Linked DNA regions of Macaca mulatta. Each later gene encodes a partner of the first gene's protein in a complex. Links are inferred from orthologs where the notes say so. Each region holds a gene or a part of one and is shown in the gene's direction. Other genes may lie near its edges.

The links.
Region 2: CASP8 (region 1) and AIM2 share a complex: the UniProt entries of both Homo sapiens proteins name them as parts of the AIM2 PANoptosome complex. The link is inferred for Macaca mulatta from reciprocal best matches to the Homo sapiens genes CASP8 and AIM2.
Region 3: CASP8 (region 1) and MEFV share a complex: the UniProt entries of both Homo sapiens proteins name them as parts of the AIM2 PANoptosome complex. The link is inferred for Macaca mulatta from reciprocal best matches to the Homo sapiens genes CASP8 and MEFV.
Region 4: CASP8 (region 1) and RIPK3 share a complex: the UniProt entries of both Homo sapiens proteins name them as parts of the AIM2 PANoptosome complex. The link is inferred for Macaca mulatta from reciprocal best matches to the Homo sapiens genes CASP8 and RIPK3.

The regions. Positions count from the first base shown.
Region 1 is NC_133417.1:106,389,846-106,393,484, forward strand, and holds part of CASP8 (caspase-8), read left to right. Parts: intron 1-1,539; coding exon 1,540-1,681; intron 1,682-3,639. UniProt on the Homo sapiens protein: Thiol protease that plays a key role in programmed cell death by acting as a molecular switch for apoptosis, necroptosis and pyroptosis, and is required to prevent tissue damage during embryonic development and adulthood.
Region 2 is NC_133406.1:107,858,362-107,862,000, forward strand, and holds part of AIM2 (interferon-inducible protein AIM2), read left to right. Parts: intron 1-32; coding exon 33-166; intron 167-2,414; coding exon 2,415-2,834; intron 2,835-3,270; exon of another isoform or gene 3,271-3,583; intron 3,584-3,639. UniProt on the Homo sapiens protein: Sensor component of the AIM2 inflammasome, which mediates inflammasome activation in response to the presence of double-stranded DNA (dsDNA) in the cytosol, leading to subsequent pyroptosis.
Region 3 is NC_133425.1:4,477,523-4,480,254, reverse strand, and holds the end of MEFV (pyrin), read left to right. Parts: intron 1-107; coding exon 108-140; intron 141-281; coding exon of another isoform or gene 282-306; coding exon 307-860; 3' UTR 861-2,102; downstream 2,103-2,732. UniProt on the Homo sapiens protein: Involved in the regulation of innate immunity and the inflammatory response in response to IFNG/IFN-gamma.
Region 4 is NC_133412.1:97,456,296-97,460,695, reverse strand, and holds the start of RIPK3 (receptor-interacting serine/threonine-protein kinase 3), read left to right. Parts: upstream 1-1,540; 5' UTR 1,541-1,759; coding exon 1,760-1,779; intron 1,780-1,988; coding exon 1,989-2,129; intron 2,130-2,263; coding exon 2,264-2,573; intron 2,574-3,025; coding exon 3,026-3,171; intron 3,172-3,297; coding exon 3,298-3,344; intron 3,345-3,551; coding exon 3,552-3,719; intron 3,720-3,829; coding exon 3,830-3,897; intron 3,898-4,112; coding exon 4,113-4,400. UniProt on the Homo sapiens protein: Serine/threonine-protein kinase that activates necroptosis and apoptosis, two parallel forms of cell death. Necroptosis, a programmed cell death process in response to death-inducing TNF-alpha family members, is triggered by RIPK3 following activation by ZBP1.

The DNA.
Region 1 (3,639 bases):
TTGGAGAGTCTAGCAGGAATGGAAAAAGCAAAGCCTTTTCGTTTGACTTAACATTTCAAAAATGCTTCTCCTTTGTGATTAGGTGTAAGCAGCAAACTCTCATAACCTAGCCATCTTTGTGTTTTCATCTCAGTGAACCAGCAGAAACATGTACTTTTTAGGCATCATAACTTCTCTTTATGTAACCAACCATCCACCAAATACATCCCGACTTATTAGCCCATTTGCTCGTCCTCATGGTAAGAAGAAGAGGAAATCCTGAATATCTGAAGTAGGCTTGGGAGAGCCTGGTATGGGCTTCTGAGAAAATTACCAGACCTCTTTCATCTGAAAGTCAAGGATTAACCCAAGTAATGTGGTACTTTCTAAGCAATATAGCATGCTGCAAGCATTGTCCCCACTGAACAGCTAAAAACACTGTCTTAGTATCTTAGTAAATCTTAGTATCTTTTTCCTTTTTTAATGTTTTATTGAGACAGGGGTCTTGCTACGTTGCCAAGCCAGGTCTCGAACTCCTGGCCTCAAGCAGGTCTCCTGCCTTGGCCTCCCAAAGTCTGGGATTATAGGTTCTAGCCACCATGCCTGGTCAAATCTTAGTGTCTTAATATCTCAGTAAATACACTTAATATGCTTAATAAATACTTAGCACACTTAATAGTAAATAATACAAACTTAACACATTTGGTACAAACTTAATCAAATATTTAATATCTTAGAGTTAATGTATTAAAATAACAGGTTACTTGCCCAAAGTCATAAGGTGAAGTAGAGGCAGGAACTGGGCTTCCTAGCCTGGAGCCCTTTTCTCTACCTCAAGGGGCTACGTGAACCTCCAACTAAATGCTGAGTATCTCAGCACTGAAACAGCCCTAGGAGAATGAATAGGACACAGGGCCATCCCTGGCAGGTACTGTCAGATACTACAATTTGGATACCATAACCTACAGTGTAGCCAGGACCTGCCTGACCAGCCTGTCTCTTCCCAGCAGCCACCGTGGTCCTGAGAGCTGGGTTAAGCCATCACCTTTAAAATCCTGGGACCACACTGTGCAATGCATGAATGGGAGACCCTCGACTGTTAGCCACGAAGCACAGATGAGTTCAGTAGACAGCCAAGAGAATCACAAGGTTATGGCGTGGGGGCAACCAAAGACATTCATTGAGTAACTCTTGATTGAGCTCTCGTAAGTTAATACACCGTAGTCCCTGGCACAGATGTTATCGACCTCAAGGAGTTTTCTGTATAGTATGGGAAGCAGAAATGAGAACAAACAATAATACAATATGATGACAACAATATTAACATATGTGCAAAGTGCTCAGGAGGCCCAGGTATTGGGAAACTGACTTTACAGTGATGGGGCAGAAGTCTGAGGGGTCCTGTGTGAAGGAAATAGGTAGAAACTAGTTCTTCAAGGAAACGACCCCAAGTTGGGGTGGTGCAATGGAAAGCAAGTCCTCTTACTAGGGAGTTGTTTGTTTACATCTCTAGTGTTTGACCCACAGAGTCAGCTCCTGGGTTGGGTTTTTGTTTTCCAGACTTTGGACAAAGTTTACCAAATGAAAAGCAAACCTCGGGGATACTGTCTGATCATCAACAATTACGATTTTACGAAAGCACGGGAGAAAGTGCCCAAACTTCACAGCATTAGGGACAGGAATGGAACACACTTGGATGCAGGTACAGTAGAACCCAAAAGAGAAAAGTGAAATATTTCTTATGCCTATTTTTTTTTTAAATCAAAAGGCAGAGAACAAAAGCTATACCAAAAGAGTCATGTTTCAAGAAAATGGATTTAAACATATTTCCCTGTGGAGGTAAAGAACATTCTTATACATTTGTCGGTTTCCTGCTTTTTAAAAAATTAATCTTTTAAATAGAAGCAATGTATGTATAAATATGAAATATCAAATCTTACTAAAAGACACAATGAAAAGCAGTAATAAGCTTTGTTTTTAATTCAGCTAACTGCATAGTGCTTCTGTGGAATGCATTAAGCGATGGAACTGCCGTGGTATCAAAGCTCTTATAGAGGCTGCATTTTTACAGGTTGGGCTGTTAAGTGCAGCAGAAATTGTGGGTTCTTAACAGAAACAGCATTTTCAAGTATTAAATATTAAACTGGTTAGCAGTTCTTTTACTCAGCCTATTTAAGCTAAGATCAAGAAGCTACAAGTTAAATGAAAAAAACAATTTGTAGTATGTGAATATAAAAAGTGACTACAACAACAAAAAATAAAAATCATCCATCACCATTGAGATATTAATAATTTTGATTTGATCAAAGAACTTTTGAAAATAGTGTTCATCAGGCATAATATCAATTATTGATTTGTTTTGTAAATGGAGGTAAGTTTAGAAAATTAATGTAGACTGATTATAATCATCAGGACTCTGTAATGGTCCCTAGTAACATTTTTTTTTTTTTTTTTTTTTTTTTTGAGACAGAGTCTCACTCTGTTGCCCAGGCTGGAGTGCAGTGGTGCTATCTCGGCTCACTGCAGCCTCCACTTCCCCAATTCAAGTGATTCTCCTGCCTCAGCCTCCCAAGTAGCTGGGACTACAGGCACACAGCACCATACCCGGCTAATTTTTGTATTTTTGGTAGAGATGGGGTTTTGCCATATTGGCCAGGCTGGTCTTGAACTCCTGACCTCAAGTGATCCTCCTGCCTCGGCCTCCCAAAGTGCTGGGATTACAGGTGTGAACCACTACACCTGGCCCATGTTAACATTTGATTTGTTTATTTAAGCAAATCTAAGCCTTTAAAAAGGCACAGAGATTAAGTGCATTGATGACATCATTCGTCATTATGTGCTTGGTGTTGAAAAAAACATTTCGAGCCCTTGATTTGTATTATTTTAAAATTAAAACATTTCTATTAAAATAACACTTGCTTCTATTTCTGGCAGTTCATTTTCTTATAACTGGCCCATGATTGACTAGTCTCTGGTAGGCATTCGAGTCTGTGTGTCCTGCTTTTTCTATTCCTGTTCTTATGTTTTATGCTAAATGAGTAAAAGTAGGAGACCCCACTGCAGAAGTCATTTCTCCTGAGAGACTCCCTTCTGTCCTGCTTCAGTGCCTTGACACTCGCTTTACAGTCATTTTTTAAATCAACATTCCACATTTCCAAAGGATCAGAACTTTTTCACAGAACCAACACACTGTATTAGTCTTGCCAAAGTGCTTCCAAATCAACAATTGCATTTCCGTTTTTGTTTGTTCTATTCCTAATGCTAGACTGACTTTTTTTGTTTTAGACAGAGTCTCACTCTGTTGCCCAGGCTGGAGTACAATACCATGATCTTGGCTCACCACAACCTCTGCCTCCCAGGTTCAAGCAATTCCCCTGCCTCAGTCTGCCAAGTAGCTGGGATTATAGGCATGTGCACCACACCCACACCCAGTTAATTGTATTCAGTAGAGATGGGTTTTACCATGTTGGTCAGGCTGGTCTCAAACTCCTGACCTCAGGTGATCCACTCGCCTTGGCCTCCCAAGGTGCTGGGATTATAGGTGTGAGCCACTGCACCTGGCCGAGACTGTCTTTTGACTGATGGCTTATGTTTAGCTCTGATGTGCTGACAGGGACAAAATGCTGGAGAAGGAATAAAAAAGGAATAATCCAACAAGGA
Region 2 (3,639 bases), on another chromosome or scaffold:
CTTATTGGCCATGTCTTCCATTTTTTAATCAGTTGATAAGGAATACAAATCGGTAACAAAACCAAAGCCACTAAGTCAACCTGAAATGAGTCCTGCTGCACCTGCAGCCGTCAGAAATGATGTCACAAAGCAACGTGCTGCACCAAAAGTCTCTCCTCATGTTAAGGTAGGATGAGGAGAGTGGAGTGGTCTTTGTCCTTGTAAGAGCATCACTGTCACTGTCATTTCCCACATTGTTCTCTGTTCTTTATCTCAGAGCATGCAAATAAGGGAATTAAGGCCACAGTGTGAAAAGCACTCTGAGTCACAAAAACAGGAACTACCTCTGATTAATCAGATTAAACACCTGTTGAGCTTCTAATCTCTGTCAGGGCCTGGACACATTAACACTCTGTTATGGTTTGGATTCTATAAGACGAAAACTCTGAGATAGACAGTTGTTTACAGGAAGTCTATTTTAGAGCACTTTCAGAATTAGTATCTGTGAGGAAGTGAAAGGAGTAGAAGAGGAAGAATGTCAAGTCCAATATAGTTGCAATAGAGGCCTTGGCCTACCCCACAGGGAGCTCGGGAGCTGAGAATGCCCTTCAGGGCTCCCAAGACTGGTGGGGGAGTCTGTGGTTTGCACAGACCCAGGCTCTGGGTCACATCAGAGATCTATTGCAGAGACTCTTACACTCGGCCTGGCATGCCTCTGTTTGTTTTCCCCTGTATTTTCCCTTAGTTCTTGACAGCAAATTGCTTTTTAAAAGTAATGTAAAAAAGCCCTTTATACACCTGCATGGACAAGGTGAGGTGGCCCTGTTTAGCTGAGAGAGTAGTGCCTGAAGAGTCTCATTGATGAGAATGATTACTTTAGTCCTGAGGGAGCGGCAGGCAATATCGGAAAGGCCCAACACAGAATCCACCACACATGCAATTTCATTTCCTGTGAAGCAGGTGTTACACCATTTTATAGCTGTGTGAGCTCTAGAAACTGATTACACATACTTCATTCTCTTTGTCTAGAGGAGCCATTTCCTCTGGGTTTGGCCCAGAAACTTCTGGATTTTTCAGAAAACAAGGTTCAAGTATACATGGTGTGATTCCATCACCAGTAATGAAAATATGCATCATTCAGTCTGGAAGACTCAACTAAAGATACATGGACCAAAGAGGACTTTTGTAGTGGAACTCAGTGGAACTGACCTTTACCTGCATTGATCCAAATGCAGTCAGTTATACTGCCCGTCAGGGCCCCTTACTGGCCCCAGCTCCACTGGCCCAAGCTTCAGGTCACATCGGAGACAGCCTTCGAGACTCCTACACTTGACTTTTTATGCCTCTGTTTGTTTTTCCCTGTATTTCCATTTGGTTCTAGATGGCAAGTTGCTTTTAAAAAGTAGTATTTTCTCCCAAAACAAACCAAAAAAGGTATCTTATCTCTGTTAATTCAGAAAAATAAAAAACACAGAGAAGCGAATAAAATTACCTATAATTGTATCATCTAGGAAAAAAATATTGATGTTGGTAAATATCTCTGTAGTGTGTTTGTGTGTGTGCTTTAACTGCTTATTTATCCAAAAAGAAAGAGATTTTTTATCTGTTTAGGACCTTTCCCTTTATTGAGTCAGTTATAACAGTTTATCACATTATTTCTCTAAAGCATTTTTAATATTTGCATAGTAATCTATTTGTGACTATACCATATTTTGTTTAACCAAATTCTATTTTTTATGTATTTAAATTATTTCTTTTTTTATAATTTCAAATAATAAGATATATTTTTAAAATGTAAACCTTAGTGCATAATTCATTATTTAAGGGTAAATCCACAAATGTAGTATCAATTCTCCTTTTAAATTTCTCCTTTAACTCACTTGTAAGATCTCTGACCTAGGTCTCCCCCTTAACTCACATTAAACATAGTCTACATTTTGTTACGTACAATACCTCCCTAGGAATTTGGGGAACCCTGTGCAGGTCACTGAGCTCTCTCACTTTTATACCAGAGTAAAATGAATGTTTAGGACAGTGTTGGATAGAGAAACAAGGATATATTATGCCCGAATGGAATCCATAGAAGATGGAATCAGATTTATCAGATTTACCCCGAGGCTTAGCAATATTTCAGAAATCTGATGAAGTCTTTTTATATAGCACATGGCAAAGCAAGGATTTGGTTTTAGGGATCCTTCCTCCAAAACATGTTACACCGTCTTATCTGAATACAGGAGTTGAAATCTTCCTTCTGCACTCTCTGTTCCATCTAGATCATTCTAGGCCTCAAGTCTCTTCTTATCCCCTCTGTGTCTCTTCCCTTGATTCCACCTGTCTTCTGTGGCTTCCTGAGGCTTAGCACTGTGGGTGAAGGAAGGTCCTCTCAATAGTACCTTTTTGACTCACAGCTGATATCTTTCTTCTCTTGTCTTCAGCCTGAGCAGAAACAGAGGGTGGCCCAGCAGGAATCTATCAGAGAAGAGTTTCGGAAAGACTGTTTGCCAGTTATGGTACTGAAAGCAACAAAGCCCTTCACGTTTGAGACCCAAGAAGGCAAGCAAGAGATGTTTCATGCTACGGTGGCTACAGAGAAGGAATTCTTCTTTGTAAAAGTTTTTAATACACTGCTGAAAGATAAATTCATTCCAAAGAGAATGATTATAATATCAAGATATTATCAGCACAGTGGTTTCTTAGAGGTAAATAGCGCCTCATGTGTGTTAGATGCTAAATCTGACCAAAAGGTTGATGTCCCGCTGAACATTATCAGAAAAGCTGGTGAAACCCCAAAGATCAACACGCTTCAAACTCAGCCCCTTGGAACAATTGTGAATGGGTTGTTTGTAGTCCAGAAGGTAAGTTTTCATAGCTAATTTCATATTGATTAGTAAGAATAACGTATTTTCCATCTGATCTTAAAGAGACTTTAGAAAAGGTGTTAATGTCTATACAGACAAAATAAAAAAATACAAAGTTCTAAAGAGCTGCAGAGTTAACATGCCAAAATTCATACGAAAACTCAAAAATTGTTTTTATTGTCAAAAATGTCACAATCCTGTTTCAACTTATTCTTATCCCAGTAGCCTCTGAAAAAGGAATTAGTTCGTTCACATAGTTTTTATTTCTGCGTTATTTTTGTACTTTGTCCATATTATCTTTATTTTAAGTGACTATTGTTGTGATTGCAAAATAAGTGTAGTTGAGTAATCAACCAAATTAATTGACCTGAAAAACCAATATGCAAGTCAGGATTAAAGAACTGTGATTAAATGAAGAAAACAGAAGAAAGAGTTAGCTTGAGGAGACTTATTTATTTCTTTCTTTTTAATTAAAAGTAAACTTTAATGTCGAAAATGCAAACTTGGGGAAGACAGAAAAGATCACATACAAGGCTATCACTTCACACTTGGAAGGTTCCACAGCGGCTGGCGCTCCTCACTTCCCAGACGGTGGGGCGGCCGGGCAGAGGCCCTCTTCACTTCTCAGACGGTGGGGCGGCCGGGCAGAGGCCCTCTTCACTTCCCAGACGGTGGGGCGGCCGGGCAGAGGCCCTCTTCACTTCTCAGACGGTGGGGTGGCCGGGCAGAGGCACTCCTCGAGGAGACTTATTAGAAGTGAGAAATAATAAAGTATTATGACTCTGAGCTTCAGGGAACTAGC
Region 3 (2,732 bases), on another chromosome or scaffold:
CCTAAGCAGGGGGTTCCTTGCGTCTCCTTGTTGTCGGGACATTGTAATTTAGCCCCTCTGAATACAAATGCTCAGGACTTTTTTCCCTATCTCATTTTTCTCTGTAGTTCCAGAGCTGATTGGCGCTCAGGCACATGCCGGTAAGTGCCCAGATCAAGGCAAGTGGCCCTGACCTGCTGGATCCCTGTGCTCTCCCCCACCACGTTCGAGAATAACTGCCCTGTCCCTGTTTTCCTGCAGGTGGGGATAACCCTGTAGGGATGTTGCCTACGGACCCCTAGCTAGGTATTCAAATTTTCTTTGCAGTTAATGTGATTCTGGATGCAGAAACCGCTTACCCCAACCTCATCGTCTCTGATGATCTGAAGAGTGTTAGACTTGGAAACAAGCGGGAGAGGCTGCCTGATGGCCCGCAAAGATTTGACAGCTGCATCGTTGTTCTGGGCTCTCCGAGCTTCCTCTCCGGCCATCATTACTGGGAGGTGGAGGTCGGAGACAAGACAGCGTGGATCCTAGGAGCCTGCAAGGCATCCATAAGCAGGAAAGGGAACATGACTCTGTCACCAGAGAATGGCTACTGGGTGGTGATAATGATGAAGGAAAATGAGTACCAGGCATCCAGTGTTCCCCCAACCCGCCTGCTAATAAAGGTGCCTCCCAAGCGTGTGGGCATCTTTGTGGACTACAGAGTTGGAAGCATTTCCTTTTACAACGTGACAGCCAGATCCTGCATCTATACATTCACCAGCTGCTGTTTCTCTGAGCCCCTTCAACCTATCTTCAGCCCTGGGACACATGATGGAGGGAAGAACACAGCTCCTCTGACTATCTGTCCAGTGGGTGGTCAGGGGCCTGACTGAATGCCCAACACTGCATCTCTCTTCCAGCTTCTGGCCTTGTATCTTGCATTCACATACTCAACAGTCACGGAATGCCGCCTGGGTGCCAGCTGCTACAGGAAATGCAACGAATAACAAAATAGTTACTGTGCCCATGGAGCCTCCCCGATTGTAGCAGAGCTAAGTTAGGAACGAACGTATTAGTAAATCCGCTAAAGAAGTGTACTGATGACACACCATGGATTTCAGAGGAGGAAGTACAGGGTCGTTGCATAATCCATCCCTGGTGAATGGTACTCTCAGGTGCTCCTGAACAGAAGATTTGGCCCTCATTTTCCCTCAGAACCCCACGGCAAGGACATGTCCCCTGGTTCTCTCTGCTTTTGTCTTGAGGACATGGGAAGTCTAGAGAAACACAAGCAGACTGGATTGGGATAGAAGTATTTGTGTACCTGGATTAATGAACTATGACTTTTTTTTTTAGACGGGATCTTGCTTTGTTACCCAGGCTGGAGTGCAGTGGTACTATCTCAGCTCACCGCAACCTCCACTTCCCAGGTTCAAGTGATCCTCCTGCCTCAGCCTCCTGAGTAGCTGGGATTACAGGCGCATGCCACCACACCAGGCTAATTTTCTTGTATTTTTAGTAGAGATGGGGGTTTCACCACGTTAGCCAGGCTGGTCTTGAACTCCTGACCTCAGGTGATCCACCCACCTTGGCCTCTCAAAGTGCTGGGATTACAGGCATGAGCCACCCCGCCCGGCCTATGATTCTTTTTTTTTTTTTTTTTTCTTTGAGACTACTCTTGTTGCCCAGGCTGGAGTGCAGTAGTACAATCTTGGCTCACTGAAACCTCCGTCTCCCGGGTTCAAGAGATTCTCCTGCCTCAGCCTCCCAAGTAGCTGGGACTACAGGCGCCCGCCACCACACCCGGCTAATTTTTTGTATTTTTTAGTAGAGACGGGGTTTCACCGTGTTAGCGAGGATGGTCTCGATCTCCTGACCTTGTGATCCGCCCGTCTCAGCCTCCCAAAGTGCTGAGATTACAGGCTTGAGCCACTGCGCCCGGCCAAAGTTTACTTCTTAAAATAGGAAGTGCCATATTGCCCTCTTAAATAATTGTATTAATTTGCTTTCAGAATTCTGAATATTATTTTTGTAATTATTCTTTTAAATTTCATTTCTTTAATTGCATGTGACTGTAGCCATCTTTTCATGTTAAAAGGCATTTATAGAGATATATATTGTGTTTACACCCTTAATTTATGGTATCATTTCAAATCCATTTATGTCATTTATTTTACGGATTAGATTCTAAAAACAGGATTCCATCCAATTGTTTTAAAAAATCTTTATCGCTCTTTTTTTCCATCAAATTAAAAAAAAAATCTTTATCGTTCTTTTTTCGTCCCCTCCTCCTCCTGCCTCCCGAGATGGAGTCTCGCTCTGTCTGTCACCCAGGCTGGAGTGCAGTGGGCACGATCTCAGCTCACTGCAACCTCCGCCTCCCAGGTTCAAACGATTCTCCTGTCTCAGCCTCCTGAGTAGCTGGGATTATAGGCATGCACCACCACACCCGGCTAATTTTGTATTTTTTAGTAGAGATGGAGTTTCACTATGTTAGGCTGGTCTGGAACTCCTGACCTCAGATGATCTGCCCACCTCGGCCTCCAAAAGTGCTGGGATGAGCCACCACGCCCAGCCTATTGTTCTATTTTTTTTTAAGGTTTTATTATTTTTAGTTACCAAATTGACATGTGCTCATTAAATGAAGTGACACAATTAAAAAAAAAGTGTAATCTCCCCCTTTTCTCCATTTCCACTGCCTCCCTATGAGTAACTATTTTATTTTTATTTTATTTATTAATTTGAGACAGAGTCTTACTACTCTG
Region 4 (4,400 bases), on another chromosome or scaffold:
AAGGGAGTGGCTACCCCTTTTGATGGTTCTCAGCTTCTGACTCTAGGCTTTTCTGAGGACCTGCTACACTTCTTGCCTTCTTGGATTCTGTGTGATACCACCATATCTCTATACTAAAGCCTACTTCAGACGGATTTCATGAACTGTGCAGGTGAGAGCCCTCAGTCCCTATAGGAACCCGATCTCCTCTTTCCTCCTACTGAGTATGGAGCTCCATCTAGGATGATCAGTGCCTTAAAAGAGGCTTAATATTTTTGGTTGTTCATTTATTCATTCAATTCAACAAATATTTATTGGGTATCTGCCATGTATTGGCTTTTAAAGAGACTACAGTTGAACAATTCCCTAAATAGCTCCAAAATAGCATGAGCTGACCCTACCAGAAGCCATGGTGTAGCTCTCCAGGAGTTGTTCTAGAAAAAACTGCTGATCACTTCTGCCTCAACCAGAAGAGCCCATGGACCACTGGACAAAATGGAAAGCAAGTACCAAGGTGAGCACCTTTTAGTGAAAGCCAACACACAACCCACAGGGTTGAGTATCCCTGTGAAGGACTGAGTGCCTAGGGCTGGCCCTATCGGGTTCCCACAACCTCCAGTCATGGTCAGACCTCCAAAAGGTAAAATATGGACACCTTTTTTCTGCCCTAAATCTTTAAGACTCTCCATGCTTCTGGGTTATCAAAAGCCTGTGTCCAGAGCATGTGCTTGTCAGGAACATTAATTAGGGTATTTGCATGCAAGAGTTGTCATGCAAAGGAGAGGGCAGGAAAGCTCTGAATTGTTTCCACTGCAGTGTACACCACAATGTCACCAACTTGCTGGATGGGCTGGTATATCTAGCCTTACCACAATGCCCTTGGAGTGGGTTTGGGGTCTGCCAGCTCAAGGAGCTCCTGTTCATAGGGCATGTAAGTCCCTATGAACATATAAGTCCCAAGGAATACAAATAGGGATCCTTCACTACATCGTTGGATGCTTCACAACTTTCCCAGCCTCCTGCAGGACCAGCTGAGTGGTCCTGCAACCTGTGTGAAAACAGGTGAAACCTATGTGAAAACAGCCCTGAAACCTATGATGTGAAAACAGGATAACTTGATGGTTCAGAGCCATTATTTCCATATGGGCTTAGGCAAGGTACTTAAACTCTCAGTGTCTCAGTTTCCTCATCTATAGAAAGGTAATAAAAGCAGTACCTATCCCCTTAGGGTTCGTGTGAGAATTAAATAAGCTAATCTATGTACCTGGTGCATGATAAGTTTTATATATGCATTGGCTATGATCTTAGGGCAGCTATGAGAGAGCTGAGCCCCAAAACCATAAAACCTGCCTAAGCACCATCTCCACTCATGGCCTGGCAGGTGGTGGAGCAGGAAATCCTGTGGGAAAAGAGAAGGCTTTGACTGTAGGAGTGGGTTGATTGTGGGTTCCTGGAAGGTGAGGACCCATTGCCACACCTAACCTGGCCGCTGCATGCGGCAGGCACTCAGGAAACGCTAGTCAGGGAGAAAGACACTAGCTTTCACTTTGCCCCCTGCCCCACCCCAGGGGCGGGACTGTAGAGGCGCCTGTAAGGGAAGTTGTTCAGTCAACTCAGAATACGGGTAGCAACCCGGAAAGTGGAGTCACCGTCCTGGTCTAGAGACTGATCCCTGCAGAGACAGATCCCTTCCCCTCTCTGCCAAAGACCGCAGCCCCAGAAGTCATTCCATCTCCTACTGCTCGCAATCTCCAGAGGCCCCCTCGCACCTTCCAGCCTGATGTCGTGCGTCAAGTTATGGTGAGTAGGGAGTGGCATGTCGATCGCAGCCTCCGACATTCACACCCAGAGCGCCCCACGGACTCGCTCAGAGAACGCCTTTGAGTCTGGAGACGGTGGGGGCCGGCGAGAGAGGCCGGGGATTGCAGTAAGAGCGCCGAGTCACAGGGGCGCGGGGAGCAGCGCTGGCGTAGGGCACTGCCGGCTAGTGGGCGACACCCCTGTCTCAGGCCCAGTGGTGCCTCCGCCTCCTTGGTGTCCATCGAGGAACTGGAAAACCAGGAGTTCGTCGGCAGAGGCGGGTTCGGCACAGTGTTCCGGGCGCGATATAGGAAGTGGGGCTACGATGTGGCGGTCAAGATTGTAAACTCGTGAGTGACCCCTGTTGCCCCCCCGGCCGCAATCTGGCCAAAAAGGTGGAGCCACTGTGCTCTGGGGCCTGAATGGGGAATGGAGGGATTTTTCCCACGACCCCGGGTGACTCCAGCTCTCTCCTGGAGTGTAGGAAGGCGATATCCAGGGAAGTCAAGGCCATGGCAAGTCTGGATAACGAATTCGTGCTGCGCCTAGAAGGGGTCATCGAGAAGGTGAACTGGGACCACGTGCCCAAGCCGGCTCTGGTGACTAAATTCATGGAGAACGGCTCCCTGTCCCGGCTGCTGCAGCCCGAGTGCCCTAGGCCCTGGCCGCTGCTTTGCCGCCTGCTGAAAGAAGTGGTGCTTGGGATGTTTTACCTGCACAACCAGAACCCGGTGCTCCTGCACCGGGACCTCAAGCCATCCAATGTCCTGCTGGACCCAGAGCTGCACGTCAAGGTCAGCTGCTCTACACCCCTCTCAGCCTCAGGACAAGGTCCCACCCCAGAGCAGCTCCAGCCAGGCCCACTGGACACCAGACCTCCAGAGCCCTGTCTATTGAATAGGCGTAGCCTCTCCCTCTGGACACAGGGCTGCCAGGGCACAAAGCCCAGCCAGGAGTTTTAGCTCCTGCCATACCAGGTGATAGAGGCCCCGACCCACACGAGTCATTTCCACCAGCTGCCCCACCAACCCCTCCAAAGAGTCATGGCTGACCCAGCCCTGGAGACTCACACCTTGACCCAGCCCTACCACAGGCACCTAGATCTACTATCCAAGGGAGCCTCTTCCCTTGACCTCCACACTCCCTTTACAAAGCTGAACCTGAACCTTCTGGGGGCAAGGGGGTTTCTGGAGGCTGCCTGGCCCCCTTGTCTTCCCTACCTCCCACTTCTTTCCTTCCTTTGCAGCTGGCAGATTTTGGCCTGTCCACATTTCAGGGAGGCTCACAGTCAGGGACAGCATCCAGGGAGCCAGGGGGCACCCTGGGCTACTTGGCCCCAGAACTGTTTGTTAATGTAAACCGGAAGGCCTCCACAGCCAGTGATGTCTACAGGTAAGGATCCCAGCCCAAACACACAGCCGGGATTCCTACACTTCTCTGGGCCCTCCCAGGGGGTGATGTATAGGAAAGGAGTCTTGCCAGTGATTGGACTGGTCCTCAGCTTTGTGTCTCCTGCAGCTTCGGGATCCTAATGTGGGCAGTGCTTGCTGGAAGAGAAGCTGAGTGTAAGACTCTAGGCGGATTCTGGGATCCTTAACCCCAGGTGCCCTTCTCTTGAAAGCCCCAAAGCTTCCCCTTCCTGCTCACCTACTAAGACTGCCCTCCTCCATCCTTGTGCTCCCACATTACACTCCCTGCCTCTTTCCATGATGGAGCAGATATTCCCTTTTACCCTGAATGCCTTCTCTTCTCACCCTCCTCCCCTACTCCAGTGCCAACAGAAGCATCACTGGTGTGTGGAGCAGTGTGCAGGAGGCAGACCCGGCCCTCATTGACTGAGCTGCCCCAAGCTGGGCCTGAGACTCCCGGCTTAGAAGGACTGAAGGAGCTAATGCAGCTCTGCTGGAGCAGTGAGCCCAAGGACAGACCCTCCTTCCAGGGTGAGCTGGCCAATTAGCTGGATCTGGGGTAAGCTTGGGTCTGTCAGCATGGGGCTTTCCTCAGGAAAAGAAGATTTGCTCACCTGCAACCCACTCTGCTGTCCCTCTAGAATGCCTACCAAAAACTGATGAAGCCTTCCAGATGGTGGAGAACAATATAAATGCTGCTGTCTCCACAGTGAGCGCCAACATCACCCCTCTCCAGGAGCTGGTCAGGGATGGCACAACATGGCTACCTGGCCATCCAATGACTCACCATTAACCACAGCTTTTTTATGCCTTGACCTTTGTCCTCACCCTCCCCAGCCCACCCCTGAGTTCCAAGAGACTACTCCCTTGGGTTTACTCTGGCTCATCCAAGTCATACCCAGCAAACTCCTCCCATCCCTGCAGGTAAAGAATTTCCTATCTGAGCTCAGGAGCAGCAATCCGAGATTTTCTACCCCCGAGTCAGGCCAAGGAGGGACAGAAATGGATGGCTTTAGGAGAACCACAGGAAACCAACACTCTCGTAATGATGTCATGGTTTCTGAGCTGCTAAACAAACTGAATCTAGAGGGGTCTCCCAGCTCTGTTCCTGAAAAATACCCGAGCCTTACCAAGAGGAGCAGGGCACAAGAGGAGCAGGTTCTGCAAGCCAGGACAGCAGGGACATCTTCAGATTCAGTGGCCCAACCTCCC